4 linked regions of the Alligator mississippiensis genome follow. The protein of the gene in region 1 interacts with the protein of each later gene in a pairwise test. Links are inferred from orthologs where the notes say so. Each region holds a gene or a part of one and is shown in the gene's direction. Other genes may lie near its edges. The genes, in order: ARL6IP1, SNX11, NDRG4 and GAD2.

What was found.
Region 2: the proteins of ARL6IP1 (region 1) and SNX11 interact in binary tests that used the Homo sapiens proteins (3 or more experiments, as listed by UniProt). The two-hybrid records come from large-scale screens. The link is inferred for Alligator mississippiensis from reciprocal best matches to the Homo sapiens genes ARL6IP1 and SNX11.
Region 3: the proteins of ARL6IP1 (region 1) and NDRG4 interact in binary tests that used the Homo sapiens proteins (3 or more experiments, as listed by UniProt). The two-hybrid records come from large-scale screens. The link is inferred for Alligator mississippiensis from reciprocal best matches to the Homo sapiens genes ARL6IP1 and NDRG4.
Region 4: the proteins of ARL6IP1 (region 1) and GAD2 interact in binary tests that used the Homo sapiens proteins (3 or more experiments, as listed by UniProt). The two-hybrid records come from large-scale screens. The link is inferred for Alligator mississippiensis from reciprocal best matches to the Homo sapiens genes ARL6IP1 and GAD2.

The regions. Positions count from the first base shown.
Region 1 is NC_081836.1:44,689,229-44,697,064, reverse strand, and holds the start of ARL6IP1 (ADP-ribosylation factor-like protein 6-interacting protein 1), read left to right. Parts: upstream 1-4,833; 5' UTR 4,834-4,906; coding exon 4,907-4,942; intron 4,943-7,443; coding exon 7,444-7,577; intron 7,578-7,836. UniProt on the Homo sapiens protein: Positively regulates SLC1A1/EAAC1-mediated glutamate transport by increasing its affinity for glutamate in a PKC activity-dependent manner.
Region 2 is NC_081827.1:167,758,974-167,766,095, forward strand, and holds the start of SNX11 (sorting nexin-11), read left to right. Parts: upstream 1-4,115; 5' UTR 4,116-4,200; intron 4,201-4,249; exon of another isoform or gene 4,250-7,062; intron 7,063-7,075; exon of another isoform or gene 7,076-7,122. UniProt on the Homo sapiens protein: Phosphoinositide-binding protein involved in protein sorting and membrane trafficking in endosomes. Regulates the levels of TRPV3 by promoting its trafficking from the cell membrane to lysosome for degradation.
Region 3 is NC_081833.1:38,962,807-38,970,586, forward strand, and holds the start of NDRG4 (protein NDRG4), read left to right. Parts: upstream 1-4,777; 5' UTR 4,778-4,946; coding exon 4,947-4,983; intron 4,984-7,780. UniProt on the Homo sapiens protein: Contributes to the maintenance of intracerebral BDNF levels within the normal range, which is necessary for the preservation of spatial learning and the resistance to neuronal cell death caused by ischemic stress.
Region 4 is NC_081828.1:188,878,142-188,885,914, forward strand, and holds the start of GAD2 (glutamate decarboxylase 2), read left to right. Parts: upstream 1-4,764; 5' UTR 4,765-4,838; coding exon 4,839-4,914; intron 4,915-5,305; coding exon 5,306-5,365; intron 5,366-5,565; coding exon 5,566-5,715; intron 5,716-6,581; coding exon 6,582-6,815; intron 6,816-7,773. Other genes in the region: MYO3A (myosin-IIIa), read left to right, coding at 1-60, 2,013-2,127. UniProt on the Homo sapiens protein: Catalyzes the production of GABA.

The DNA.
Region 1 (7,836 bases):
GGTACGCATCCTGAAGCATGTTGTGCTACACCATTATAGGATTTTGACTGGAAGGCAGCGGGATTCCAAGGCTTGTTATCAAAGAAAATTCTTGTGGTTCCTCTTGTTTCATCCTCTAACTGTTCCTATGATGCAAGGTAGGAGGGCTTTAAAAATACGGTCTTACAATATAAAGGAAGTATTGCCAACAGATCCTGTCTACACAGTAATGAACATAAACTAGCTCTTGCAAGCATATCTAATGTTTATGCAATATCTTCACAACTGGGGTAATTAATAAGAGCCCCTGAGGAGCATGAAACAGAACAGGCACTTCTAGATTCTGATCTAAAGCAGCTTCAATCACCTGCCACTTTTGTGACTCAGCCAACTAGTATTAGGTAATGGGATAGGATAATGTTGCAGGCTTCTGATGACCAAAACCCATTAAACCTGTTCAGTGCATGGAGCTGCAGCAACAGAACAATACATGTGAATTCTCTGTACGGAGAACTCTTTGGAAGATGGCCATCCATGACTGCTACCAGGCTATAGCTACCAATCTTGATGTTGGTAGATCAGCTGCTGGATCTGTTGTAACAGGTGAGTACTTTATCAAGGAGGTATTGTCTCCTAAGCAGTAATGGGTAGTGCAGGTCAGGGGATCCCAAAGTGTTGGTTTTTGCACTAGACCTAGGAGTTCACCAACAGATTAGAATTTTCTATGGTGAGGCAAGGCCTGATTGCTGACTATGGGAACTGCACCATTAGTTATATAAGGTGGTCTGGAAAGGCTCAGGAGGAAGTGTTTAACTACGCCCTGGCTGTGTCTACATGAGACACTAACTGTTCAGTAGCTTGCTACTACTGTGCAGTAATGTCACGTGGCACAAAGTGTGACATGATGCTACTGTGCAGTAGTAATGAGCTACTGTGCAGTTGGCATCACCTAAAAGCCATTTGGCAGCACTACTGCACAGGTACTCCAGTTACTGCGCAGTCATTTAGTACTTGTCTACAGTCATTTAGTACTTGAGGGGTAAAGGAAGAAATCTGATGTTGGGAGCTGGAGGCTGATGAGAAACATCTACCTTTTATTGAAAGCTCCTTGCCATTTTGGCACAACCTTCGTGAAACTAAGGGAGACAGCCTCATGAATGGATAGGAGAAGGAGCTGGGCAGGTTTCCTGAGTGTTTTGAATAACATCTACAAAGTGCTACTGTTCTTCTGAGGGACAGAAACATAGATACAACATGCTCCTGATGCTTCATGTTGTGTTGTGGGGATTTTTATCTTATTTTGTGTATATTTCCTGTTTAAAGAATATTGTGCAAAGCTCTGCAGCTGAGTGCAGACAAGGTTGCACTTTTACAATGTTTCCTATCATCCCTACTGCTGTCTATGAGGTGGTAGCCTGCTCCAGTCCCTTCTCTCCCTTCTCTATACTAGTGCTATCATGGAAAAAAAACAAGTGGTTACTGTATCCAGGCCAATAGTGGTAAAACAGTGCCCTTTCCTCAGGGCATAGGCTCTTCATCTCAGTTCTATGAGATTATGCAGATGACAAAACTCCACAACCTTCCCAGTCCCTGGGACTCCTGGGTCTATGATAGGTGAGTGACAAGTGGCAGGGGGCTGTTGTTAGAAAAGATTAACAACTACAATAGGCTCTCGATGTAGGGGCAGTTGTGGCAGCTCACTTAAGGTGCAATCCCACTCACCTCAGCAGCTGACCGGTTTCATTCATGTAAAGCTAAGGCACTTTGCCAGCTGAGGCATCTAAGTCAATGGGGAAAAGTGCAGTTCCACAGGTAATGTGTAGGAGGGGCATGTGGGGGCATGTACCCTCCTGAAATTGGCCACTGCCGAAGCCACTGTTGGCTTCTGCGGGTAGTTGCTGCCTGCACCTGCCCACCCCCACCTTGCTGCTGACACAACCGGCAGTGCCACCCCCCGCCACTGACGGTCCCTGCTTGCTGCCATGGTGCCCCCCAGTCTTGGGAGGCACCAGTTGTTCATGTGCCAGTGTTCATAGGGGCATTTTAGATTACAAGTTAGTAAGATCTTATCTTCCACAAGAAAAAATCCAATGTATAACGAATCTCTCACCAACCTATTTCTACTTCACCCAGTAACATCAGTAAGAGCATGGTTCAGCTTTTGGAATGCGGCCTTTGACGCCTACGTAATGGTTTCCCAGGCTTAGCACATGCACGTAGGCAAAGGTAGTTTAAATCAGTCGAAATCCAGGTGAATGAGCATGTGCAGTATCTGGTGCTGCAGATTCTTCTGCAGCGCCATACATGCAGGTATTCGCTGCACGGCTAATTTGCAGCATGGGCAGAGGGGAGGGATTCTGACACTGAGAGATCCCAGTGACAAAAAAACCCTGCACCTAAAAAAAGCAGAGTGGTGCATGTGGTGGCAGCATGCACCACCCGAAACTGGAGCCTAACTGGCTGGAGCCACACTCTGGCTGCCAGCCCAGCCTCCCTGCTGCTGGATTGGCGCGACTGCAGCCCCTGGAGGCCCATGGGACCCCAGGTAAGGCTGCTGGGATGAGTCCAGGTGCTGGCCCCAGCCTCCCTTACCTCAGCCAGGGCAACTTGCTGCCTGCCACAGCATGCGTGCACAGGCGCTCCCCAGGGACAAGCAGCAGCAGCGCAACTGTGTCACTGCTATTTTCTTCCCGGGAAAATTCACGTGCACGCTCTTCTGGATGTGCCCAGTGTGTCTATTCAGCAGGCACCTCATGGACATGATGTGCATAGCCCCTTAAGGTGTCTTTTCTTCAGTCAGGTGTGCAAGAGAACACCTTTCTCTGCAACGGACCTCCCAGAAATAGTGATGAGAGATGCCTGCATTCAGGAATTACCTCTACATCACCTTTTTCATGGCTGCATGTAACTTCTACAGCAATTTGATTCCCTAAGGCTTCCATTCGTGTGTTCCCCCTCTCCCAATTTGAGAGGGATCTCTATCTGGGGAATCTATATAATATTATCAGTATTGCTAGTTTGTGCCTTGAGCCCTTAGCGACCTGTTCTCTATTCTAAGAGTCAGGGAAGAGGCCTTTTTGTTCCTCAATATTACATCTCCTCCAAGTGTAAGATTCAGGTTCTCAGAGCTGATCCCCTTCCACGGTGCTGTTTTGAAGACAGGATCTCACACAGCACTCTGCACAAATTCCTGTCCTGAGTTGTACGAGGTGTATGTGAACCTATGTATTCATTTCCCAGTTTTCTTCACTGACCACAGTGCGAACTTTGTACTTCATACACTGGTGGTAGGAAGGGTCTGGTTACTTTAACAGGACAAAATCCTATGGGAACATACCTAGACTGTCTTTGCTAATAGGATAGAAAGTTAGGCAACAGTCTCACAGAGATTATTAAAATGCGTCTCTAAGCATATAACATGCAGTGAACTTGCTGAGTCAGATTCCTGCAGCCATTATAGAGCCTATTTCAGTAGAGATCCAGCACTGTTTTCCCCTGCTTGAAAAACATCGAGCAGTTAATATACTGTGGTCCACGTCCATATTTAAGGATCCCAGGTACGACCAGAATATAAGTAACACCATATTCAGCATAGGTAGGATAGGTGAATATGGTAGCAGTCCACATTCGCAGGACCTTGCTGTCTGGGAAAGGCTTCAGATTGTACACTTATATGGCTATCCTCTCATCCTTGTTTAAATAGGACTCTTGCTGTTGACAGCCAAGGTGACCATCGACTGTTTTAGTCACAACACTGGTATCTATGTGGGAGCCCCATCAACCACCGTGCACTCAAAGGAGGGAGCCTTAAAGTTGCTTGTTTAACTGCAGGGGTTTTTTAACCTCACAGGAGGTATAATTCACAAGATGCATCCTCCATGCAGATTGCCTCTCTAGTGCTGCAGCGTCTTACCGGGCCAGGCGTTCATCGGGGCTGCCTGGGGCCGCCCAACCTTTCAGCCCTGTGGGCCAGATGCTGGCGCGGGTGTCAGGCTGGGGTCTGGCGTGTCGGCCCAACCCTGCGTGCCAGCCCCGTCCGGTGCGCCGTGGCACGGCATCCAGCCCGCAGGCCCGGCCATTTGGCGTCAGGGAAGCAGCAATTAACACTGATGTGGCCGGAGATGGGGCACCACTCGTTAAGCTAAGGAGCTGAGGCACAGCGGGACCTGCTCTGAACCGCGTGCGCTGGGCGAGGGCCACGATGCCGCGAGGGCCCCGGCGCCGCGGGGAAAGACAACAGGCGCGAGCAGACATGGATGCAGGGCAGCACCGGACGGCAACAGGCTGCTCCTGGCTTCCCCTCCTTCCCGGGGCACGGAAGATTAGCAGACTGTCGGTCGTTGGTCTGAGGGCACGGGCAGACGAGACTCTCTGAGTAAATGGGAGGTTTTTTATTAGACCCACTGAAAAGTTGGAAAAATTGTTCTGTGCAAGCTTTGGGAGACACACTTTTTTTTAATTATTAAAATGATCTATCTATCCATATACATATATGTGTGTGTGTGTGTGTGTGTGTGTGTGTGTACACGTACGTGTATATTTGTTCAGACCAGGCGAACACGCGGGGGCAAGTGTCGCGGGGGGAGGAGCTCGGGCCGTGGGCCGCACTGGAACGAGGCTGTGGCCCCGCCCCCCGCGCTCGTCGCTCGAGACCGAGACAGTTGGCCGTTGACACCGCCCCAGGGCAGAGGCGCAGACAGAAGAGAGCCACGCCCCGATTGGCAGCTGCCCGCTTTCAAATAGCGACGCTCTGGGATTGGTCCGGCCACTCGTTCAAGTCGACCAATCGTTGCGTAGACTTCAGCGGACCCCGCCCCCACGCCGTGTCCATAAAGGGCGGCGCCGCCAACCCGGCGCAGTGCTCGGCGAGCAGCTAGCTGGGGCGGGCGCAGTGTTTGGCTGGTGGGAGCGTGCGGACCCGCACAAGATGGCGGACGGAGACAACAAGAGCACCAACCAGCTGGTGAGCGGCCGGGCCGGGCGGGGCTGCTTCCGCCTCCGTTCTCCTCCTCGCCCTCAGCTGCTGCACCCGAGCCGGGCGAGGCCTACCCCAGCTCCTGCGCCGCAGTCTCCCCGGGCTGTGCCGCAGCAATGGCCCGCGCCTTCGCTCTCCCCTGGCTCGGCTCCCCTGGGCCCGTGCCCTGGTGCGCCCTTGCCCTTCCCCTAGGCAGCGGGGAGGCCTCTGCGGCTTGGGGCCCGGCTGCCTCCCCGCCCCACATCGGGCTCTGCGCTTTCTCCTCTCGGCTTTCGACTCCTAGCGCTTGGCTTGGCCCCTGCCCCAGGCTCTGTGTCTCCCCTAAAGGGCTGGGCTGCTTTCTCCTTAGTCTGGATTCGGGACAGAGCAGCTGACACTGCAGCTCCATCTCCACCCCTGTCTCACATAAGCCTGTGGCATCTCTGATTCAGTTAGTCTGTAAGGTGCACCTCTTCTCACTCCAGGGTTTTTATGCTTTTGCTTCGGAGAGACAGGAAGGCTTGAAACAGCCAGGTGTAGGGGCCTTGCTCTGGACGAAGTGGGGAATACGCAGATGGCTTTAAACACAGGTTCAGGCAGGAACTGAAAATGAGGGCTGGGGAGTCAGAGGTAGTAGCAGAAATAATCGTGGGAGGAAGGGGGAGGGCGGCTTTGAAGGGTGACATTGAGGAACGAAAGGAGTGATATTTTGTCTGCAGTTTCAGATTGGACTTGATGGCCCAGGAGGTCCCTTCCAGTTCCTTGTTTTTGAAAAGTGAGGCACTCAAACGGTGTTGAGAGCTGAAAGAAGCTCCTAGAAGGAGCTTTGAAAAAGTAGTAGAAAGGAGGAAGCAGCAGCAGATGAGAGTGAGACTCAGGCACTCGGCTAGAAAGGGTCTCTTGGAAGCTGGGAGGTGCTGCATGCGGCATAACTACAATACCTGGGCTAGGGAGGGGAGGTGGCTGAAATTGCCTGACTTAATGGGAGAGAAGGCTTGGGAGGGGCAAGCATTTGAATGAAGGTTGAGGAGGTGATGGACAGGAGGAGTTGGCACCTGTTCTCTGCCTATTTGCATGGGAGAACAAGTACACTTGCTACCTGCTTTGTGTGCTGGCAGAAGTCAGGCTGTTATTCCTGACAGCTGTATTCTAACCTTTGTCCTGCTAAAGTGCCTCTTGTGTAATGGGTAACTTAAGATGAGTTCCCTTTTCTGAGTGATTGCTGGTGGCCCCAGATACTGAAGTAACACAAACATAGACTTGTCTGTTGACAGCAGGCTTTTGTCTCCTAGTTTGGAAAATGAGAAATTGAGGCTATTTCTAGAAAGTGTGAAGTAGATATACTTATTGTTGGTACAGTTATCTTTAATGTGGAAGGTAGATAGGGCAGGACATATAGATATAACTGATCTGATAATTGCATCTAGGTTTTGATCATCACATGCAGATTTTACACTGACTACTTTGGGTTTTTTGTTTTAAGTTATTTCTACCTTCCCTCTCCCTAGGAAAATAGTCCCTTTTTGTGATACCAGCAATCTTTCCTATTTTCCCCATGGACAGCAAGCTTATCAGCTATATTTAATGTGTTACATATGACCTGAGGCAACGGTAAAGAGGCTGGCGTAGGCATTTTTTTTAAGTTGGATTGCCGTGTGACTAGTCAGATGTGAAACTACCTTTTTTTTTTTCTATTTTTGACCATTTCTGAGTTAACATCACCTTTTGTCATTCATACATATAATTTAAAAGAATGCAAGCCAAAAATTGTTCAGTTTATGGTATCTCATAAATAAATGTACTAAGTACATTGTACTAGTGTACCCAAGTACTTTTGGGTGCTACTCTTGGAAATGTGTGTTTTAATTCTTTGATTTTTTTTTTTTTTTTTCCCACTATTAAAAAAATTCCAAATAGGTTTTTCTGCTTTTTGTCTAACTCAAAATGGAGTGAGAAGCAGTGAAACGGACTGGATGTAAGGGCAGTAAAATACATGTACTAAATACTGGATAGGGTGGGGGACTTGAATTCAGTTTTAGTTTTTAAAAAAGAGGACACTTTGAATTCCTTACAAATGCTTTCTCTATGCTGGAGAATCTTATGATTGGCAGACTAGTTAATCTCCCAAACAAAAGTCTTCCTCCCTCCCTTTCTTTTTCTGAAGGGATGAGCTTCAGGTTGGGATGCAGAATAGCTTAGGAGATCTAAAGACACCTTATCTTGGAGGACATGTTACTACATAATCTGCTGTGAAAATCTTAACCTTACTGTCTTCATTAAAACCACAGAGTTACAGTGCCAAGTTGTATGACTGAGGAAAAACTGGTGGAAGAACATTTAACTGAAAAGGATTGACTGTGTCCTGTACCTATAGAAGAATAATTTATTTTAGTGTGGCTTTGCAAGCACAAATACTTAATGAAAAATTTAGTGCATGTAGTAAATAATTCATATGTAAGTACCCATGTGACTTTCTAATTAGTGACAACTTTAAATGTCTTTTTATGCAGGCTGCAGAGACTGCCAGCTTGGAAGAGCAGTTACAAGGATGGGGAGAAGTAATTCTGGTAACTGACAAAATCCTTCGTTGGGAAAAAGTATGGTTTCCACTTGCAGTAATGGGTACTGTTACCTTTGCTTTCCTGTAAGTAGTCTGCATTATTTTTGCCAGAAAATCAACTGAAGCTTTCTCCTTAAAAATACCACCTGGGAAAGTTTTGCTCCAGTATCTCTTGCTTAATATAGACAGTAAGGTCTAAGATTTTTTTGTAAGAGCAGTAGTAACAGGAGGGTGCACAAGACCTCTTGCTCTGAGGCCAGCAGTGATTGCATGTTTCACTGATCCTTTTATTTATCCTTTCTGACCTTGGTTGTTAAAAATGTCCTTTATGAGTTGCTGTTGC
Region 2 (7,122 bases), on another chromosome or scaffold:
TGGTCATTCCTGAAGTAGACGATCCTCCAAGCCCAAAGGGTGACAATCCTCACATGGATCAAAGGGGGCAGCAGTGCTCAAAAGCCCCCATGGCTCACCAAAAGCATCCAGGAACATCTCAGAACTAAAAAGGAGGTGTACACCCAATGGAAGCGAGGGGCCATCACCAAGGAGGATTATACCTCCATTGCCCGAGATTGTAGGGGGGCTGTTAGGATGGCTAAGGCGGAGATGGAACTGGGACTAGTGACCCAGATCAAGAACAATGAGCAGTCCTGTTTTAAATAGAGGGTAAAAAAGAAGGTAACGGGTAACGTAGGGCCTCTGCAGGATACGCTAGGAAATCTGGTGGTCACACCAGATGACAAAACTAACCTCTTTAACAATTTCTTTGCCTCCATCTTCTTGAGCAGGGACCGGGGCATCCCCCCCACTGGGATCCCCGAGGGACCCAGGGGAGGTGCTGCCAGCCCCAGGGTCAGTGAGGACCTAGTCAGGAAACTTCTGGTGGGTCTAGATGTGTTCAAGTCAGCAGGTCCTGATGATCTCCACCCCAGAGTGCTGAGGAAATAAGCAGAGGTCATTGCAGGACTCCTGGCACAGCTTTACGAGCACTCATGGTGTTCTGGTGAGGTGCCGGAGGACTGGAAAAGGGCCAATGTGGTCCCCATTTTCAAAAAAGGGAGGAAGGAGGACCCAGGAAACTACAGGCCCGTTAGTCTTACCTCGGTCCTGGAGAAGGTATTTGAGAAAATTATCTAGGAGCACATCTGCGAGGGACCAGCAGGGGAGATCATGCTTAGGGGCAACCAACATGGGTTCATTAGAGGCAGGTCCTGTCAGACCAACCTGGTGGCCTTCTATGACCAGGTCACAAAATTCTTGGACGCAGGTGTCATGGTAGACGAAGTCTTTCTGGACTTTAGGAAGGCCTTTGACACTGTCTCTCACCCCATTCTTATTAAGAAATTAGGTGACTTTGGCATCGATGCCTACACAGTCAAATGGGTCGCCAATTGGCTGTAGGGCCACACCCAGAGAGTGGTGGTAGATGGGTCTTTTTCCCTGGAAGGATGTGGGCAGTGGGGTCCCCCACGGCTCAGTCCTCGGGCCCGCACTGTTCAACATCTTCATCAGTGACTTGGACAAGGGGGTGAAAAGCACTTTGTTCAAATTTGCGGATGACATTAAAATGTGGGCAGAAGTGGGCACGCTGAAAGAGAGGGACAGGCTGCAACTAGATCTAGACAGGTTACAGGGGTGGGCAGATGAGAACAGGATGGGATTCAGTACTGACAAGTGCAAGGTACTGAACCTGGGGAGGAAGAACCAGCAGCATACCTACAAGCTGGGGAATTCCCTTCTTATCAGCACAGAGACAGAAAAGGATCTTGGTGTCATTGATTCCAAAATGAACATGGGCCTCCAATGTGGGGACGCAGTCAGGAAGGCCAACTGCACCTTGTCATGCATCCACAGATGCATCACGAGCAGGTCCAAGGAGGTGATCCTCTCCCTCTATGCGACATGGGTCAGGCCGCAGTTGGAGTACTGTGTCCAGTTCTGGGTGTTGCACTTCAGGAGGGATGTGGACAGCATGGAGAGGGTCCAGAGGAGGGCCACTCGCATGATCAGGGGGCAGCAAAGCAGGCCCTACGAGGGAGACTGCAGGACCTGAACCTGTTCAGCCTCCACAAGAGGAGGCTGAGAGGGGATCTAGTGGCTGTCTACAAACTGGCCAAGGGGGACCAGCAGGCCATGGGAGAGTCCCTGTTCCCCTGAGCACTACAGGGAGTAACAAGGAATAATGGCCATAAATTGACTGAGAGTAGATTCAGGCTAGATATCAGGAGGCACTACTTCACAGTCAGGGCGGCTAGGATCTGGAACCAACTTCCAAGGGAAGTGGTGCTGGCTCCTACCCTGGGGGTCTTCAAAAGGAGGCTAGATAATCACCTAGCTGGGGTTGTTTGACCCCAGCATTCATTCCTGCCCATGGTAGGGGGTCAGACTTGGTGATATGCTCAGGTCCCTTCTGACCCTACCAACTATGAAACATGAGCTAAGGTTTTCAGTTAGAGCTAAAAACAGACTGCAGGGCAGGGCTGTGAAATAAGAGAGAGAGATTACCAGGAATGGCTAACAGACATCGACATCAGCAGAAGCAAGGGAAGTTTGACATCAGGACCATTAAAATGGATAGCAGTTTTTAACACCTGTGGAGTGGAGAGCAATTATCAGGTATCAGGAAGAAGGTAATGAGCCATTAAATTAATCCCAGGCAGTTGGCTTTTAGTTTGGATGGAGGAGGAATCAAAGGGGGGATGGATCTGTATTACTATACCTCAGGGGTTGACAACCCCCATCTGCATTACTGTACCCTCTCTGGATTTGCCCCTGCTAGGTTCTGGATGAAACCAATGGATTGGCCCCAGGAGGATGGATGAGTTTGATTCCCCCCAACCTTAAACTCACCATCTCCAAAATATCAGAACAAGAAGCTGCTCATACCAGGACAAAACGCTGCTCATACAGGTGTTCCTCTGCTCTCTGCAGACTTATGTAAGCATTTTGTCCTTTGCCCATATTCAGGGTCTTTCCAGATGGTTTTCATTAAGAGAAAAAAAAAAACCCAATTCTCTGAGTCAAGTATTTTTTTGGTTCAATCCTGAATATTCACAAAGAAGGAAGGCAGCATATTTCCCTGAACATGGCAGAAACAGACCACAGCAAAGTCTCACAGTTTCCAAGCCTGGCTTTCCAGCCAGTTCTGTATCCCAAGGAGCTCGTGTCCCTCCTCTCTCTTGGGGTTACTCTCACAACTTCTTTCGCTGTGTGCTAGCCTTTTGCTTGCTCTTTCTTGACTTTTTGCTTCTGCAATCACTCTCTCCTCAAACCCTAGTGTTTGCAATTAGTCCTAGGAAATCCTCTAAGGCCACACAGCTGAATCCTGCTCAGCCTTTGCCATGCAGCCCAGTGCCTTGGATGGTATCCTCTTCAGCTATCCTGCCACATGGGTGTTTAAAAACAGCAAACTCTAAAGGAGTGTGGTTAACACACTTTTTTGACTTCAGTGAGTTCTGTGATTAGCTCTAAATCAAACTCCCTTGGTCTCCCTAGCTCCCTAGGCCTCTTCATGGGCGATTTCCAGACTGCAGGGTCGTCACTGGCTAGATCAGGACCCAAATCTAGTGGTGGTGCAAGCAGTGGCTGCCATGGGTTCATGAGCCCCAGCATTGGCTCAGTGACCTGTAGGGATTAGCACAGTAACACCCCCCCCAGCAGGGCCTCTTACCCCAAAATTTGGTGATGGGCTCTGCTCCCAAATTTCCAGCCCTTCCAAGGAACCCTGCAGGCCAAATGAAAGCCTGGTGGTGTGAGTCAAATTTGGCCCATGGGGTGTGTCTGATACTCTTTCTCTAGATAACAAACTTTGCTTGCTAACAGCCATTAATACCATCAGAGCATTACAGTATTGCCCATCCCAAACATTAAGGAAATTATGATCCAGGTCATAAAAAACTTTATTATAATGATGATGATCCATTTGAGGCTAGTTCTTGAGTCTTTATAGTGCCCCTGGTCCCATGTGCCAGCTTGTTTTTGCAAAGATGAGGGCTAAACACTTGATTTATTTATTTACTTAAATTAATGCCAGAGTCTCAATCCCCTAACCCTGGAGTGGGGCTTTGACAAAACCACCCAGTGTCACAATTTGTGCCACAAAATGGTGGGGCTGCTAGTATTGCCCATGTCCCACAAAGCCTTGCACAGGGACCCAGGAAAGATCCAGAACTGAGGTGGCTTCCACCTCTCCTCTGGGCACTTTGCTCTGAGTATTCCCCCCCTCCATGCATCCCCTTATCTTCTTTCTTTTATCTAGGAGAGACAAAGCTTTCTTTGGGTAGCATCTTTTACCAGACCAATTGCATAACTGGGACTCTTAGCCAAGCTTGCAAATGCAAAAGTACTTTCCTTATCCACTGCATCCCCCTCCCTCTCTCCCTCCCTCCCACTGTGCAAGGCCCCCGGGGGCTGGAGGAAGAGGTGGAGTCCTCTCTCCTAAGCAGAACTACATTTCCCATGCTGCCCCGCGCCCTAAAAGGAAGGAGTCTCACGTGACCTCTGCTATAAGGGCCCAGGCGGCGCCGCCTCTTCTGCTTAAAGGGGCCGTGTCACCGGAGTGTCTTGCGGGAAGAGGTAGGGTCTTTGTGGGGTGCATGGCGGGAGGGCACCCGGCACACCTCAGGCAGCTGTCTGGGCAGTGGCTGGGGAGATTGCTGCTCCTTGCCTGCGCCAGGGAGGCCCCTATTCAGGCGGCACCTTCAGTTCATCGACTCCTTGGGGCGTGTTGATCGCACGGAGCCAGCTGGAGCTGGGCTGTCAGCGGCGCCCAGCACTGCAGCTTGGGGGCCAAGGAGCCCAAGCGCCTGTGCGGAGCCAGTGGATGGGGGTCTCTATCGGAGGACGTGGTCTTGGGTGTCTCAATGGGTTCGGTTGGGTGGGGTCCAGCTCTGGACTGTGCATTGCTAGAAGTGGGGGGAGAGGCAAAACACAGGGGCGAAGGAGTCTCCCTGGCACCTGCTATGTGGCAAAGGGCATCCAGAGCAGATCAGTTGCCCCAAAAGTGACAAGCCGCAGGAGGAATGGAGTAGGCTTGTTCCCCTTTCTTGGCTGCAAAACGGTATTTTCCCTAAAAACTAGCCACCTGGACTTTTTGTCTCCCTTAGTAGGGCCTCTGGTGAGGGGAGCTATGAGATCTCAGCTCACCAGGGAAGTGAAACCCTGAGGGAAGCTGTCTGCCATCAGCACAGCAGTGCAGCAGGTGGCACGGATGGGGCTTTTGGCATAAAAGTCCATAAGCCAGTATGAGGTCTGTGAGCAGCAAGTAGGTGTGGGGGGGATGCAGCTGGTGGTAATTTCACATTAAAACCGTCTAAAACCCTTCCCCCTGCAAGGTTTTGGACTGTTTGTCCAACAGACACTGAGGAGGGAAGCATGTTTGACATCTGCCCCGTTGATTAAGGAAGGGATGTGAGTGCGGCTGGGGATGTATTTCTGAGTCATGTGGAAAGTTTTCTAGCAAAATAAAACAAAACCTGGTATTTCCATGTTTGCATGGAAATGTACATGTTTTCATGTTATATTTTTTAAAGGGGAGAGGCAGGGCCCCTCTTTTCTGTCGGGGTGAAGTCAGGTTGCCTTTATATATGCCAAAAATGACATAAAGGCCTTCTCTTAAGTTCAAGGCTGTACTAATAGGATTTGAAATGGCTTTGAAAACTGATACAGCTATGGACTGAAGTGTACATATCTTAGCACTGAGCATCAGAAATCAGTCATGAAATCAGATTTACAGTTCATGAGGCTTGGACAGAATAAGTATTATGGTTTTGGATTCTGGTTTTTGTGCATTTACAGCTGAAGCTTTCAAGGTTTGTTTCTTCCTTAGAAGATGGAGAAAGTCTCTAAAAGAATAAATAAATGCTAAGATACTTGCATATGTAGGATTCTAGGGAAAAATGTTAAATACCATCTTATTTGGTATTACTGTTCAAGTTAACTTCAAGTTATTTGGTTTGGTTTAAGTTGACTTGTTGCCATTGTAAAATAAATTGATACAAATGAAACTGGAGTTGGATTAAGAATAACCTGGTGCAGCTTTGAATAGAGATGTAGTTAAATGACACAAGCAAACTTCTTTACCAGTTTTTGTTTTGTTTTTTGTTTTTTTTTTTTAAACCAGTAACCAAACTCTGGCAGCTTATGAGTGATACACTGCAGCACCAAATGACTTAAAGCAATACTGACAGCAAGCAAAAGCAAAACTTCATTGATTTTTTTTTTTTCTTTTCTTTACTTACCATTGTCCAGTCTGGCAGAGATATTAAAAAGAGCAAGTAAAAGCAGGATGGCTACTGGATTTAAAAAATTAACTTTTAATTCAGTGGAGGTTTAGGTAAATGAATGTGTACCTTTCTAACAATTCTTAGATTGGCCATCTCCTGTTGTGGCACAAATCAGTTCCTATGCAATATAGGCATAGGTGGGTCTAACTTGTGACATCCTTGTTTTAAAATAATTATTTCTGAGTATTTGGAATCTAGTCAGTGGAAGGTGGGGGCACTAAGAACTCTACACTGTATGTCTGATAGTGTAGATGCGGCTTATGTGCCTCACTTAGTTGTTTATCTATTTAACCTCCTAGGGAAGGCCAGACAGCAGTACATCCTTCAACACTGTCAGGCATTAGAGTCTTAATGAGGGATTTCAGAGAAATTATGGAATTTAAAAAAAATAATAGGGAAGGGCTCTGCACAGTACCACAGGAACCTCCCTGGGTATGGAATACACTAGGTTATGATGAGTGCTGTCTACAGGTCTCCCCTTTTTCTCTCTGCCTCTTTCATCTCTTCCACCTAATTATTTGTCTTGATCCTGTTTCTCGCATCTCTGGCTCCCAGCTGATTAGGGTGCATGTTCTGGTTGCCTCTTATGCCATGTGTCCCCACTGCTGTTTTTCTTTGTAAGACTCATTTGGTTGCTGGAAAATTAAATTCCTTTTCCTACCAATTATGTGCCATTTCACTTAGCATGGGCTGATTCTCTTTTTTCCCCCTTCTGTGTCTTTAATCTCACTGAGCCACCAGGGCTGTCGCACAAAGAAAGCAGTTTAAAAGCAACAGCATCAACAGTGCCTCTCTAGGGAGAAGAGGGAACATAATGGTCAACCTCTCTGCTGATGCTATTCTGTATAAGTGCTTATCCCACACACATCACCACAGTATCTGAGCGTCTTCCATTATTGCATTAAGTGACGTGACTAATGTGCCGCGTGTGGTTCGTTCTCTCGCATCCTCTCCCTGGTGGGGAGGCGTGAATTGTGTGTGCAATGAAGTGTTGTTATGGTAGGGTTTATTTTCCCCCTTCCCCCTATTTTATTGCAGTGCAAACTTGAACCTGCCATGGTGTAATCAGCCCACAGCAGTGGTGTGATGATCAGCCTTTAGCAAAACCTCAATTATCCAGATTTGTCCAGGAGCTGCTGTTACTGGGAACAAGGTCATGTCTCCTGCTGTGTATCATGCATGTTTAAAACTGCTTCTTGGTCTGCTTCTCTCT
Region 3 (7,780 bases), on another chromosome or scaffold:
CCCCCCCGGCTGACATTGCAGCCACCTGTGGGCAGTCATCGTGCCCCACCTCCAGCCTCTGGGGGCACACATCATTCATGCCGGAGTGTCACGTATATCAGCATCCCCATGCTAAAAAACGGCAGCAGGGCTGCTTTAACTAAAGCTCATCAAATTAGTTTTAGTTAAAGTGCTTCCGTGGCCATTTTTCAGTGAGGGAATGCTGATAAACGTGATGCTGGAATCGGCTGGAGCACAGTAATTACCACACTCCAGCAGACTCAATCGCAATTACAGTGCATCAGAGCAGCCTGACTACATGTGTGTAGGCGCCTATAGAGATTAAAGCCATAGGAGTGCTAGCTACTTGACCAGGTATAAATCTGAGGGTTAAATACATTGTGTATGTTTCCATGTTCTCTTAGGAGTTCTCACCCATAAGTGAAGATTAATGCCACTACGGATACCAAGCTATTATCTGTTCTGTTCAGACTGAATTAAAATTAAAAGGGGCTGCCAGTCAACATGCCGTTGACACACAAAGTATTAAAATAGATGAGTGATGAGGCACCAAGTATGGAAATAAATGCTTGTGTCAACACTTCATGTCTCATCAGCCATTTATTTCAATTCAGTGGAGCTGGATGGTGAGAATAATGGCAGGTCCTAGACAAAGCTATTAACTGTTGCTGCTGTTGTAAATTAATATACTCTGTAGCCTTCGGGTTCCCCCACCACAGGGACGTATGTTTGTAATTTAAAGACATTATGAAGTAAATCGGTATTTTAGCAACTTTGCTGGCCTGCTAAAGAGAGAGCAGGCTGAAGCTTGCAGCTTTTGTCTTAGTACTCTTTAACACAACTGCAAAAGGTTGTGGTTTGAGTTCTGGGCTTCTTATGACAAGGGTGCCTTGCTTTCATCTCAGCTGCCCTAGGTGTAAATTCAGGATAGCAACAGTGCAGGCAGCATGGTTCTTCCAGACTTACACCCATGTACAGGGGATCACAAGCTGGTTCACAGAACACAAAGGAGCTCAGGGGTAACTGAGCGAAGTATCAGCTCACTGCAACCACATGACATGGGGGTGCATGTCAACACCTGCATTTATGGTCATACCAGCTATGCAAAAAAAATGTTACTGCAACATTAAGGGAGAGCCTTGGACTGCCTATGAGCAAGAACCAATGTGGGGGAATGGGATAGATTGAATTCTCTATCACTTTCATTTTTTAAATCAAGACTGAGCATGCAGGAACATTTAGAAGCCAAGGTTTCCATTGCAACTGAATCTCAGTTCCTTGTACCCATGTAATTTTATTCTGTGGGCCATTCAAGAATTTTTATGTATGCCATTGGCTTCAGTGTCAGACCTGGAGCTCCCATTGACACTAGTGGGAGTTGAAGATGTTGGCCCTACTGTCAGTAGAGTTAGTTGTCTGTCTCTGGGTATGTCTGTGTTGCTTCTGTAGCACTTCTGACAGTGCTGCCGAGAAACCGGCCCCTTACCAACTTGTTTCCACTCCCAAGATCCCTGCCTCTGACAGAGGCAGTTCAGGGTGAATTCAGGGCAGCTTCCCTGGCTCACTTCTGGGATTGGCCTGTGCAGAGGGAGTGGGTGAGGCATGCTTCTTTGCTGTGCTCTCAAGAGCACCATGGAAGTGGGATAGACCTGCTCCATGGAAAGCTCCTTGGGAGCTTTATGTCTTATCAGAGGTGCAGATGCCCATCCTGGGAATGCTCCGCCAACATGCAGCAAGCATCACTGCAGCAGCCCTATTCCACACATACTCATAAGGCAGAACTTGCAGGTCTCAACTGTAATATGGCTCTTCCCATAGTGTAGGTCTCTTGCCTAGAACTTCTTGGGTGCTCAGGGGAAGTGCACCCGATTCATTTTACAGTAAAACCTCAGCTTACAGGTACCAGCAAATAAATAAGACATGTGCAACTCCCATATCAATCACTGTCTGTCTATGACTTGTGTGCCTGGTGTGTACTGCGAAAAAAACAAATATTTTAACCCATACTGGAAATTCCTGTTGAAAATAGTCAACTGGTCATAGCTGACTGCTGGATTCTGGCTGCTAGTCTTGTGTATCAAGACCTTTGTGCCAGCAGAAATCATAGGATCAGAGGAAAGTAGGGCTGGAAGGGACCTCATGAGGTCATCTAGCCTAGCCCCTGCTCAGGCTAGATGAGCAAGGGCTAGATGAACAGGGGCTGACCTCAACCAAAGGTCTGTGTATAGAAACACAGAGCCCCAGTAAGATGAAAGGATCAACCTGCATATCACTCCTTGCAGGGTCAGGGCTGAACCAGGGCTAGTGGACACCAGCAGGGACCAGCAGGATGGCTTTTCAAAAAATGTTGAATGGTTTTTAATGAGTCCTGGGAGAAATTTCCTCTATGGAACGTGTTGTCATGCATGAAGTTTGAAGCTTGGAATTGGACTCATTTGAAAGTTAGTGAAGGCTCAGAGAAATCAAAAGCTGAGCTTATTTCCCAATGTGTGAAAAATTCATTTCTTAAAAATAAAATAAAGTCCTAACACTTTGGTTAGCTAAAAAAAGGACGGTTGGTGTGTGTGTGGAGGGGGGGGTTAAATTGTGTTCCTAAAAAGGGTTACTTGTGGGATGAGAAGTGGCATGACACATCTGAGACTGAACGAGAGAAAAAGGATCTGAGAAGTCTGTAGGAGCCTGAAGAGAAAGGCTGAGAAGAGTCTGCTCTTCATCTCAGGGCAAGCTAGACAGATCAAAAAAGGAGCAGGCAATACTGGGAAGCCAGGGCAAGTTTACAGCGGTGAGTAAGAAATGAGGCATTTCCATATCTGAGTCAGCATCAGGGAAGCAATGACCATCCTCTGCCAGCCACTCCTCATGCAGAATATAGTAGGGCCATATAAGACTTCATGAGTGTCACCATCCTACATGGCACGGTCAGGGACCTAGGCTGGTGGTTGCTACGTGGAGCCATCTCCAAGGGTGTGCACCTGGCATGCTTCACAGACACTCCTGACACCTGCTCTGACAACAGAGGACAACCCTGGCGCACGCTTACCTTGAATGCGCCAGGCTACAGCCCCTCCGCTGCCTCCTCAGGAAGCTCCACCTGAGGTGGCCACGCTTCTCCCTGCACCTTTCCTTTTATGCAGTCCCCATCTGTGGCCCCACCAGGTTCCAGGATCTCCTGGTCAACCTCCTCTCAGCTCTGGCCAAGCTATCTCAACAGGAGGGAGGCTGCAGCCAGAGGAGGGGACCTGGGCAACTGTGGGGCCTTTCTGTGTCCCTGATCCGTGCATGTCCCTGGGCAGTTTCACTGGGCTGTGTCCACAGGCTCCTCCGCATTGCTGGGGGGGCTGGCTGGCGTGCTCTGTGTGCCCTTGGAGCACTCCCTGTAAACCTGTGACCTGCTCCTGTCCCCATTTTCTCTTTAGCTGTCCCAGGCAATCAGTTGTCAGGCCTCTACTGGCCTCCCTCCTTTGGGGAGGCTTCTAGTTCCCCGGTGGGCCTAGGCCCCGCTTCTCTGGGCCCAACGAGCAGGCCTGCAGGGCGCCTCTCCCAGGACAATGCTCGGAGCAAGGCAGCCAGCGCGGTGGCACCGGGGGGGGGGGGGGGGGGGCTGGGCGCTGTGACCCTCACCCGCGGCGCCCCCCGGCGGGAAGCGAGAAGCCAGACTCCGGGACCAGCACCTGCGCGGGCCCGGGCGGGCGGTGCCCCAGCTTGGCCTGGCGCCTGCTCCCTGCGGAGACCCCAGCACCAGGACGCCCCGCACTGCGTCGGGCTCAGCCGCGGGCCTGGCTGTGCCCCCGCTGGGGGCCGACGACAGCCCCAACCCCGCCATTCCCTCTCGGGCCCGGCTCTGCCGCCAGCCTGCCGCAGTGTGCTGGTGCATCTCCCGTTAAACGCAGCCAGCGCAGCCTCCCCCTGGCCGCCAGCCGCAGCCGCAGCCTCAGCCCCGAGCCAGACAATAGCCCCCACGTGGATCGCCTCGCACCGCGGCTCCGCCGCCCCCTCCCCGCGCCAGCCCAGCCCAGCCCAGCCCAGCCGCGCCCGGGGAAGGCGCGGGCCGAGGTGCTGCTCCTCCGCTGGGGGCGGGCTGGGGCACTGCTGCCGCTGGGGACGGAGCAGCTGCGGAGGAGGCGGCGGCGGCGCAGCTCGAGGAGCGGAGGGAGCCCGAGCCCCCCCGGCGTGGCACTGATCCGGTGAGTCGAGCACGGCCCCCGCCCCCCAGCGCTAGCGGGCGGTGCCGGGCTCCCGCCGCAGCCGCCCCCCACGGGGACCCCCCGATGCTGCCTGCACCAGCCCCAGGAGACTGGAAGGGAGGGCGGTGACCTGATCCCGGCTGGGCCCTGGTTCGTTTTCTGTAGCAAGGCAAAACCTAGGTCCGCTCCCCTGCCCTCGCCCCCCATGGCCTGCATGCGGGGTCGGGTAGCCCTGGGGCTTGGGGGCTGCCCCGCTTCCCCGGGGGCCTGGTGCTGCGTGCCCGACAGCAACCCCCTCCCGCTTTGCAGATATGACAGGTGGCGAGCAGGGGGGTTGCTCTTTTGTCTGAGCAGCCGTGAGGGCTGCTGTGTTGTCTGGGCACCTGCAGCCCATCTGTGCCCCGATTCACCCAGCCTCGCCCTGCCAGGCTCCCGGGCGGGGGCAGGGTGGGTGGCTTATTTGTGCAATGTAAGATTTGGGGGGGGTTCTCTCCTGAAAGCGCATGAAGCTCCTACCTATCTGCATTGAACACTCATGCTCCACACACGCGCACACACATACACACACACACACAACATGCTGCTCTTCCCACTCCAGCCCAGCTCTCTGTCTCATTCCTGAGCCAAGCTTGCTTGGAACTGAGCCTGCCTCTGAGGACTGTGCCCATCTCTCCCCAGTGGATTTATCCTGCTTGTCTTTTTTCAAGAGCTTTTCTTTCTCTCTTGCCATTGGCACCCATTCTGGAGAGGATACAGAGCAGAATGAAGGTTCTGGGACATAAAATAGAATTATTAACAGGTAAAATACGCGGGTGGAATTTGCATGCATTTCCCAGGGAGCCACTCTGGTTGTCGTATGGATGGCCAAGTTTACAAGCTGGAGTCTGGTGGGTTTCCCTGTTTCTATCCCAAAAAAGGCTCCTTGTTTCATGCCACTAGTGCAGTGGCACAGTTACTTTGGGCATGAGACTGCTTTGATTGGAGTTGTGGGGCAAGTCTCAAGCTGCTGACTTCAACCAGAGCTGGTCCAGGGGTGAGGGCTGGGGTGGGATTATGCCCTTTGGCTTTATGGAACAGCATAACAATGTGGGGAGAAGTTCTTGTTTATTGAATGCTATATGGAAGGGGATGAGATGGGACATCTAGCTATTAAGAGCCTCCACTAATTCACTTTTTCTTTCCTTGCTCTCTAATCTCTTCCATTTAATTAGTTATTTCATATTTATATAATACTTGGAAATGGAAAGTGCCCTGTTAAATTGGATTTAGGTGGGTTACTTCTCATGGACAAGCCAGTTTCCTTGTATCCTGTCAGCTGGAAGCAGCTTTCTTGGCATATCTACCCCACCTGGTTCAGTAATTTCCCTGGTGCCAGAGAGGCTCAAGGAATAAACGAGGGGACCAGTGCTCAGCTTGAGAGGCTGCCGATATGTGACGCAGGCAGCTTCCTCCTCCCCCACAGGACCAGCTGTCTCTCCCAAGCCCTGTCTGTTGGGATGTGTGTGGAGGTCAGCACCACACACTGCATCTGGGCTTCTTAGGCAGGATGCAGCTCTGTAGAGTGACAGTGATCCATAGTCGCTGCCGGTGGGGACTGGGGTCCTGATGGGTCCTTTTTCTATTCTGCCTTTCCCTGCAGCTGCTGCTAGTAACTGTCTGTGCACTTCCTTGCACACCAAGTCCACATTACCTTGTCAGGGTCCCTGCATTGGAGGGGCTGCACATTTAGGAACCAAACTTGGGATAGGGTGGCATAGGTAAAGAAAAAGGTCTGTACTTAGCCTCAAATGGGCTGGGGGACCGAGTTCACCCAGAACTCCCCACAGTGGTAGAGGGACAGAGTTTGCAAAGCATTTGGCTCTAACCCTCCTGGTACTACAGGACTCTGCAGTAAAGGTCTCCACGGGGTGTTATCTTGGGAGCTGGGGTTGTAGGGGCTTTTTACACTGGGATTGTAAGAAGGGGACCTTGTGAGGCCATTCTTCCATTTGTTAGAGCCAAAGCTGGGGATAAGGGAAGCCTCACCTATAATCGGGGAAAAGGTGTTGTCCACGTGAGCTCTTGAGTACCCGGCTGGCTGCAGTATAACTGAGAGAGAGAGGGGATGGCAGAAGGTGCTGATCCCTGTCAGCCATGCTGCCGGAAATAGGCACTGTCTATTTTTGCTTGCTTGTTCCCAGCCTTCCTGGGCTGCCTGACTGCCTTTTGTTTTCTTTTCCATTCTGAGCTCTGGAGATTAGAAGAGAATAGGTTATGCTTTGCTACAGTTGCAGCCCAGGTAGTCACTCATTAATAAAGGGCCCCTCTACACAGCCAAGGCTACTGTGCCTGGGGATCTCATTAGGACACACTATAGTGTCTTCCCTGATGGGCTCTAACAAGGACTGGTCCTGCATGCACAGATGGGGCCAAACTGTTACACAGGGCTGGAACTTGGAAGGGACCTTCTGGGCTGTTGGTTCCAGTCCCCTGCTGTTGCAGGCACCACACTATATTCCCATTAGGAAAATTTACCAACTTGCCTCTTAAACTAGGTTAGGTTGTTTGCCTCTGCCCATATAAGAAGGTGGTTCCAGAACCTTGCTGAGCTGATGGCTAGAAGCCTTCTAATTCTAAGCCCAAATTTATTCATGGCTGTTTTAGACCATTTGTTTTTGTTTTAGTAGTATCTTTTAGATTAAATCATTCTTTTCCTTCCTTTGCATTTCCCTCCCCCAGTGTATTTACCGAGAACAATTCCATCCCTTCCCGGCCTTCATTTTGCGAGACAGAACAAACCAAGCTCCTTTAGTCTGTTTTATGAGACTGACTTCCCTATCCTCTGGTCCACCAAAGAGTCCCTTTATATACCTATTCTAATCTGGGCTCATCTTTCTTGGATGCTTGGTGATCAGAATTGTGCACTGTGACCCAGATAAGGTCTCGTTAGTGCCTCATACAGAGCTGGGGCAGGTTTCTATAGCCTGTTTCCCACTTCCACAGACCAGAGCAAGCCAGTGCTCAATCTTCTGCCATGCAGAGTAGATACGACAGCACCAGCATGTCCTGTGTTCTAGGTAGGATGGAAGATGCTGCTTCCTTGCTAAGCAGAGTTATGCTCTGGCATTGGCACTGGACATAGGCTAGATGACCTAACCAAAGGACTTCTGGCCTGAGAAGTCCAATACTGAGGTGTTCCCTACAGCCTTCTGCCAGCCTAACCTGGACATTCAGAAATGTGGACCCTGATTGACAGAGCTATTTTAGCAGAAGCCCTTTGCATGGGCAGTTTTGCTAGTATAGCTGTGCTTGCCCTGGTATGGCTTGTTTAACTCATGTGAAGTGGTGTTACTGCGTGGATACAAAATGCTTCTTTGTTGGTGTAATTGTGTCTGCACTAGGAGAATTTGCCAGCTTCAGGGAGTGGGGAAAAGGGTCAAAGGTTTGCCTGAGCCTGGGTGGGAGGCTAACTTAGTTAGGCCATGCTGGTTTCTGCAAGCTGTGACCCACAAAGGAGGGGTGGGGCTGGCACTGTTTGGCCATCATTGACTCTCCAACCTAAATTACATTTATAGGTAGATCTGTAGTGTGCCAGTGTTCCTATGCTAATAGCATGC
Region 4 (7,773 bases), on another chromosome or scaffold:
CCGAAGAGAAAAGAGACAACCGGCTGAGCTCAGGAGTTCAACTATAATGGCTAGTGAAGGGTAAGTAAACAGAAAATAATTGTTGGTAAAATAAAGGTTTTTTTAATTCTGCTTAGAAAATGATGATACATATTTATTTGGATACATTTTCATATAAGACAAAACTATCTGCATTTAAAAGCTGTAAAACAACTCATTTTCATGGAATCTTCTACAATAATAATTCTAGCAATTAGGAAATTTTATGCTTAGCTGAAAATTTCCTTTCTTCGATTTTCAGTCTGTCTGAATTTTGGAACAGAACTCTGCCCAGTCAGTCTACGGTGCACATTTGTCTTACTCGAAAACCTGCCAGTTTTGTTCTGCTTCCACAGCTCCCAATAAGGTGAACACACCTCCTTGCTGTAGAGCCTCAGATCTCAAACTTGCATCAAACTAAAGAAAAACTTGAAAGTTAAATTTCTGGCTCAGTCAGGCTTTAAATTATATGGATATTTGCCAAAATTTTGACTGACTTTCAGAGCTGAGACACCGGATTCTTGGCTTCCTTTTTCCCTATTTTACAAAAACCACGTGCCTTAATAACCTCAGCTTGATGTGAGCATGACGCAGAGAGAAAAGGAAGAAGAAACCTGAAGACAAAACCTAAGATGTGTCTATGTAGAGTTCATAGATAGTGACCTCTGTTGGTCAGAAAAAAATTCTCTTTCACACCCACAAATGTATGCAGATACACAAATATGTATGTGAACAAACGTGAAATATAATCAATAGTAGAAGGATTAAAGAAAATTCTAACGAAACAAACCTATTTATGTAATCTAGAGAGACTGCCTGGTTTAAAAACAAATATATTCAAAACAGTAGTAAAAATGTTTGCAAAGGTGCCTTAAATTCTTTCTTTAATCCTTCTGTTACAAATGATTTTTCATGTTGAATACAGGAGCACCACAATTAGCTTTTTAGAAAGATTTGATGAAAGCATGGAATTTTTTAAAAAGAATCCATGTTATAGTAGCAGTAAGTCACAATATGGTTACAGGCTTAGGAAAATTTTGCATTTCTTGGGTCATTAACTTCACCTAACCTTTGACTTTTTGTTCAAAATATTTCTTGGATATAGTTGGGGGCTTGATTTTGCTTATGTTTAAATCAATGAGCACAGTGGAAGCAGAAACGTGCTTTATAGCATGTTTTCCTCTGGCTGCCATCTTCAGTAGCATATTGAAATAACTGGGGTAATTCTAGACATACCCTGATGCAAGTGAGAGCAGATTTTATCCCCTTGTTACAAGCTTATTACTTTAGCATTAGGTAGAATTCAACATTCAGTGACCATTTCAGCGGAGCTTCTTGTGTGGTTTAATCAATTAGGATATGCCTGTGGAAAAATGAACCCTGTTATTGTTTGCTGGCAGTTTGAATTCAGCAGCAGTTCCCTTCATGCTGCTTCCCAGATATTTCAGTGGTTATTCTGAAATAAGATATGTTTCAAAGCAATCAAGTTTGTTTTGAATCACGTTACAGAGAAATACCTGGTTTCACTTCATATGTTGAGACTTAATGCAACTTTCCATTTGGAAAAAAATAAAATTAGATGGTTCTGTCTGTGATCTTTGCAGTTTTGAGTCTGAAACAATAAAGACTTCAGCATGTATAAAAATTGGGATAGCTCAATGATGTCAGCGAAGCCAGACCAGTTTCCAGCACCTGAGAATCTGGTCCAGTATCTATCCAACAAGAATCGATCCCAAGTTTTGCATGCCGTAACATTTTTATTATGTCTCTACTGATTCCTACTTTATGGAAAAAACATGTTTTCCTGTAATGTTTCACTGTACTGTCTATAATGTGTTGGCTCTGAGGTGCCTCTTTTATTCTACAGAGGGGAAGAGGCCTGGGAAAGGCAGCAGCTTTTGCTGAGGGTGGAAGTTAAGCAGTCGATTAACAGTGTTTGCTGAAGCAAATGTTTTTACTTTAATTTCTAAAGCACTTCTGCACTTAATCCTTAGGTCAAGGGTTGCAGAGAGCCCCCTGGAAGAGAGCAAAAATGAAGATAATCCCTATGACTACAGAAAATTGCTGCGGAAAACCTCTCAGCGCCGGCGCCTTATCCAGCAATTCTAGTTGCTGCTGCCATTTGGCTTTTATTAGCATAATCTTTTTTATGATTTTATACCATATGCTTTCCTTTTTTTTTGTATGGCTATTTCCAATATTTCGCATTTACAGTGTTTTTTTCATTTGAATACAAACTATTTTAATTTGTGGTCCCACCTCCTGTTGAAGGGACACTGTCAAGTTAAAAAAAAAACATATTTAAAAAATAATCCACAGAGTTTCCTTTGCTGATGTTCTTAATCCATTTCAAGATTATAAAACAGGAAAGAATGTTTAAAAAGTAGTTTACTTTCTTTAGCATAGATTGTTTTCTACTTTTGCATTTCTTTCATCTTTAAACTATGTAAATAGACCAGTTAATAACCAGTAAATAGACCAGTCCTTTCCTACTCAGGTTCCCACCCTGACAGAAAATTAATTTAACAAACAGAAGAATGAATTAGCTGCATTGGATTTTTAATTGCATGTAACCATTCGTTTTGGTTTATGCCTTACAATGCCTAAATTATAGAGTAAATCTTCATATAAATTATTCATGGCACAGTATATCCTAAACTTATTTCCTTATCGACTATGTACTGTAAGGCTCTGGGGTGGGGTTAGAGGTCAATATAGTGTGTGTAATCTTTATCTGGGAAATGTTTATATACAGGACAGGACATCTAAGCACAACCTTCTCTCCTGCCCCCTCAGCTCTGTGGATAAACTCCTGAATTTTGTTTGCTTTGTTCTCCTTTCTAAATGGGTATTGTTTTTTGTTCAGGCATTTTAATTTCTGGGTGATGGAGAAATGTCGAGGGAAATAAAAATTGGTCTGTTGCTGCCTCGAAGGTAAAGACCAATTGCAATCAGTTCCACCAGGGTGCAAAGGGAATAGCCACTTCAAAAAAAAAAAAAAAATCCACCCAAAAACCTATTTTACAAGAGGCCTGGCAGAATGGATGGAGATAATTAGTGCATTCACACCCAGGTGGAATTCCAGGTCTGATAATTGCACTCTCCCAGCTGTAAAGGGAGAAAGGCAGACTTCATCAAGCAAACAGTCCCCAGAGGGTGAGGGCCAAATCCCGCTCCCTCGCTCAAGCCAGTCGCCCGGACTGCAGTGACTGCCAGCGGCGTCCAGTTCTGCACGAAGCCCTTTAAAGGGAGACACCGCCGCCCTGGCCCCGCGCGCAGCCAGCCCGGCCGCGCCGCTCGCTGCTCGGGGCAGAGCCCTGCCTGCGGCCGCCTCTCACTCGCGGCAGAGGCGGGTTTGCTCTCGCCGCTCTTCCTCGGGTGTCAGTCTGGAAATCTCTTCCTTCCTCTCTAGCAGTAACGCGGCGGAGTAAATAAAGAAGGACGCGAGTTAATGACACGCCTGTCTGTGTCTGAATTACCCTGGCACAGGTGTAATCCCGGGGGGGAGAAGGAGGGCAGCGATAAGCGGGCAGCTGGTGCTGCTGTGAGCGGGGCGCGGGGAGGGACGCTGCCAGCGCCGGCCCGGCTCCAGGGAGCGGAGCGAGGCCTTTCGCGGAGCCTCTGCCGTCTAGCTTCTGCCCGGCTGCCTCTGCTCCCGCGCACGCCGCCCCGGGCCGCGCCGAGGTGCTCCAGGACACGGGCTGGCTCCGACCGGACGGCGCCGCCAGCCCGAGCCCGGCCCCAGCGTGGGCCAGGCCAGGCGGGCCCGTCGCGCCCCGGGCAGGGAGGCTGGGGCAGGTTGGGAGGCGCGGGCGAAGGAAGCGCACGAAGGCCGCCCGCGGCGCGTGCCAGCACCTCCCGCTCCCCCGCCCCGGGCAGCCCCGCGCGGGAAGCGCCGTCGAGACGCCGGGGCCGGCTCATGGCTGCAAGGGGCCCTGCGCGGGCGCGGCCCCCGGGTGCCTTCCTGCCGGAGCCCTCCTGCGCCTCCCCTCGCGCCGGGCCGGGCCGGGCCGGGCCGGGCCGGGGGCGGGCGGCGGCCGAAGCCCGCGAGCAACCGGGAGTCCGGGGCCCGGTAGCCTGCGTGGCGCTGCCCCGGCCTCGCGGGGCCGACGGGGGAGGCGCCGTGGGGGCCACAACCAGGCTCTCGGGGCCGCGACTGCGGCTGTGGCCTCCCCGCGCTATGAACCGACTCCACCGCAGCCCCTGACGGGGGTCGCCCGCCCGCCGGCACTGCCCGCTGCTGTGTGCCGGGGGCGGGGCCGGGGGCGGGGCTGCTCCCCGCCCCCCCTGCCTGCCGGCGTCGAGGCCGGACCTCCTCCTCCCTTCCCCGCCCCCCCCCCACGCGAGGCGAGGACGTCACTCGGGCACTGCTGTGCCTTCAGTGCCGAGTCCCGCTGTCCTGCGAGGCGGGAGTGACGGGACTCACGTGATCCCGCCACAGACCCCCCTCTCCCCCCGCCCCCGTCGGTCGGTCCCGGCCGCGCTCGAGCCGCCTCCCTCGAGCTTCCTCCCTTCCCGCCCCCGAGGGCCCCAGGGGCTGCCGGGCTGCACGAGCGGCTGCGGAGCGGGACGGATCCCGGAGCACCAGCCTCCTCCGCCCCCTGGAAGGCGCCTCCGAGGGCGGCACGTCCAGCAGCCCCAGGCCCGGCGGGCAGTCGTGCCCGGGCCGCGGCGCCGCGCGGGATAAAGAGGCAGCGGCGCCGCTCGTGTCACTGCCGCTCAGCACCATGGAGAGTGCCTAGCGCCGCCCCGCCCCGCCCCGCCCCGCTCAGCCCTGCTCAGCCCCGTGCCGCGCCGCGGCTGCTCGCGCTCCCGCACGGATGGCGACGCCGAGCTCCGGCTTCTGGTCCTTCGGGGCCGAGGAGGGCTCCGGGGACCCCGAGAACCCGAGCACAGGTAGGGGGCGGCGGGGCCGCGGAGCCCGTGGACGCCTTCCAGCCCGGCCGACGGGAAACTTCCCCGGCGCGGGGATCCGAGCCTTCCCGCTCGCCTCGCGCCTCGCCGCGCACCGGGGCCGCCCAGGTGCAGCTGGACGGTGCCTCGGGCTTCTCCACGACCAGCAGGAGCCGCGCCCGCCTGGCCACGAGTCCCCCCGAGGGGCTTGTCCCTGCGGGCGGGGGGGGGGGTCTTCCCCAGGCGTGGGGGGCAAGGGGAGGGGAAAGGCCTCGAGGCCGCTGCTGGGCACGTTGCCTTTCTTTGTTCTCCGGGAGCTGCAGCCCCGGGCGGGCCGGACGCACCCGAACAGCCCGCGCCCCCGCCGCGCCGCTTCATTTCTCTTGTTTTGCAGCCAGAGCCTGGTGCCAGGCGGCCCAGAAGTTCACAGGAGGAATCGGAACCAAACTCTGTGGTAAGGAAGGAGCTCGCTGTGGCCAGTAGCGGCTAGTCCAAAAAAACCCCAAAATATGTAGGCATTAAAAAGAGAGAAACTGTCGCAGGCCGCGGGACCGGAGAGCCCCTGCGCGCGGGCACAAAGGGAGCAGCGGGGCGCGCGATCGGGGCTGCGTTTGACACACGACATTTCGGCTTCCTCTTTTGTCTCCTCGTTAGCTTTGCTCTATGGGGATGCGGAAAAGCCCATGGAAACCGGTGCAAAGGAGGACCCGGGCTCGGAGGAGAAGCGGCCGGCCTGCACCTGCAACACCAAGCCCTGCAGCTGCCCCAAAGCGGATGTTAATTATGCATTTTTACACTCAACAGGTACCGACCGTCCCCTCGCGCGGGTGCTCCGCGGGGCTAATCCCGGCTGGCCGGGCCAGGAGCAGAGGCCGGCGGAGGGGCTGGCAGGTCCCGGAGCCGCCGGGCTACCGCAGCGCAGCCCCCGGGCTCGGGCGGGCTCTGCACGATCTCGTCCCCGCGCTTAGAGCAGATGGCGCTGCCCGGGTCTGTGAAGAGGAAACATTTTATAACATCAGGATTGAAAAAAAATACCTGCACAGCTTCGCCCCGCGGGCTGCTCTGCCCAAGGACGCAGGCAATAGCGACCTTTTCCTAGAGCGACACCAAGCCCCCGGAATATGATCGCTATTTTTATGCTTTTTTTTTTTTTTTTAATTCGGGAAATTCTCGCCAACGAGTGCATGTCTAGCGGGCCCCTCTGCTCCGGCACGTCCCCCAGCCCCGGGTGGGGATGTGGTACCGAGACCTATTCCCACGCGAGCCGCGGGCTCCGGCCCACCGGCGCGATGAGCTCGTTGCAGGGCTGCAGCCGCCCCGCGCGACAAACAGCTCAGAGCTGACACCGGGCACGAGCCTTAACTAAACGCAGGAGCTGCACTGGTTCATCCCGTTGAAACCCTCCAGTAACGAAAAGGCAGTAAACGATCAACAAGTTCTTTGCCAGCCACCACATTTGACCAGCCCCGAAGAAGGGATTTTATTGTAATGCATGCGTGGGGCTCGCATTTCAGCCCGTCACTGTCAGTGCAGTCCGGGCACACGTCTCAAGGTGAAATGAGAAATGGCAGCGGGCTCGCCTTCCCCGCCGCAGCTGCAGGAGCTCCCACCGGGGCCCGATCCCTCTCCCACCCAGCGCCGCCGCTGACATTTCTCTCTTCCGCTTCCAGATCTCCTGCCCGCCTGCCACGGGGAGGTGGCGACGATGTCTTTCCTACAAGACGTCGTGGACATTTTGCTTCAGTACGTGGCGAAAAGTTTTGACCGATCAACCAAAGTGATTGATTTCCATTACCCAAACGAGCTGCTCCAGGAATACAACTGGGAGCTGGCGGATCAACCGCAGACCTTGGAAGAAATTTTGTTGAACTGCAGAACGACGCTGAAATATGCCATTAAAACAGGTAATGGAGCGGCCGAGATTTCCTCCTCCTGCCTTGACAAACGTTACTTTCTGCCTCGTGCCGAGCCTGAAGCCCGCGCGGTGCCGTGTGAGTGTCCGGCCGTGTCTGGGGGCGAGAGGCTGGCACCGCCGCGACGGGGAGGGCGATCCCGGCGGCTCCGGGGAGCGTCCTCCGGCCCCCGGCGCGCACAGACCCGCTGTGGCTCCGCGCCCGCCCGGGGCCGATCCCGGGCCGCGCAGCCCCTACAAGGACAGGGCTGGGCTCGTGCAGGGCGCGGGACCCGCGGCAGGATCCGGCGCCCTGCAGCCGCCCGGGGCCCTGCGCTCCGTGTCCCGGCTGCGGGCGCGGGGAAGGGCTCGCCGGAGCCCGGGGGCAGGCGGCCGAGCCGCGTGGGGCGTCCCCGGCCTCGCCTCTGCCCCTCTCCGCCCCACGCTGGAGGAACTGGATTGTGACCCCATGGCCAGTCCCTGGACCATGGGGATGGGGAGATGTGGACCGCGTTTCTCTCCTCTACCCCAAGCTTAGTTCAGCGTAGAAAGTCCATGCCCAGCCCCGCCGCGGGGCACAGACCGGCTCCCCCCGCCCAGCTCGGGCCCAGCGCCGCAGACAAGCCCCCGCCCGCAAGGGCACCGGACCCCGGGCTCAGACCTTGGCCGAGCTGCGCTGCAGCCCCCGGGCCGAGCCCGTGTGGGGATCGGAGCCTGGCGGAGCAGCAGAGACTGTTTGCTCCGCTGGGGTCCGTTTCCTGCAGTGGGAGCTGCCCCGGTCTCCTGCCGCCCGGCTAAGTGATGACCCCACGTCCAGGCTGCCCAGGATGCTGCCCGCCGGAGCCGCGCCCTGAAACATCTGCAGCCAGTGGAGACAGCTGTGAAAACAGCTGCATTTTGCTGCTGGGGGAGTCCAGAAGCCGGCTGAGAAGTTGCTCTGACAGAGGAGAAGGGCTTTTAATGGAGCAGAG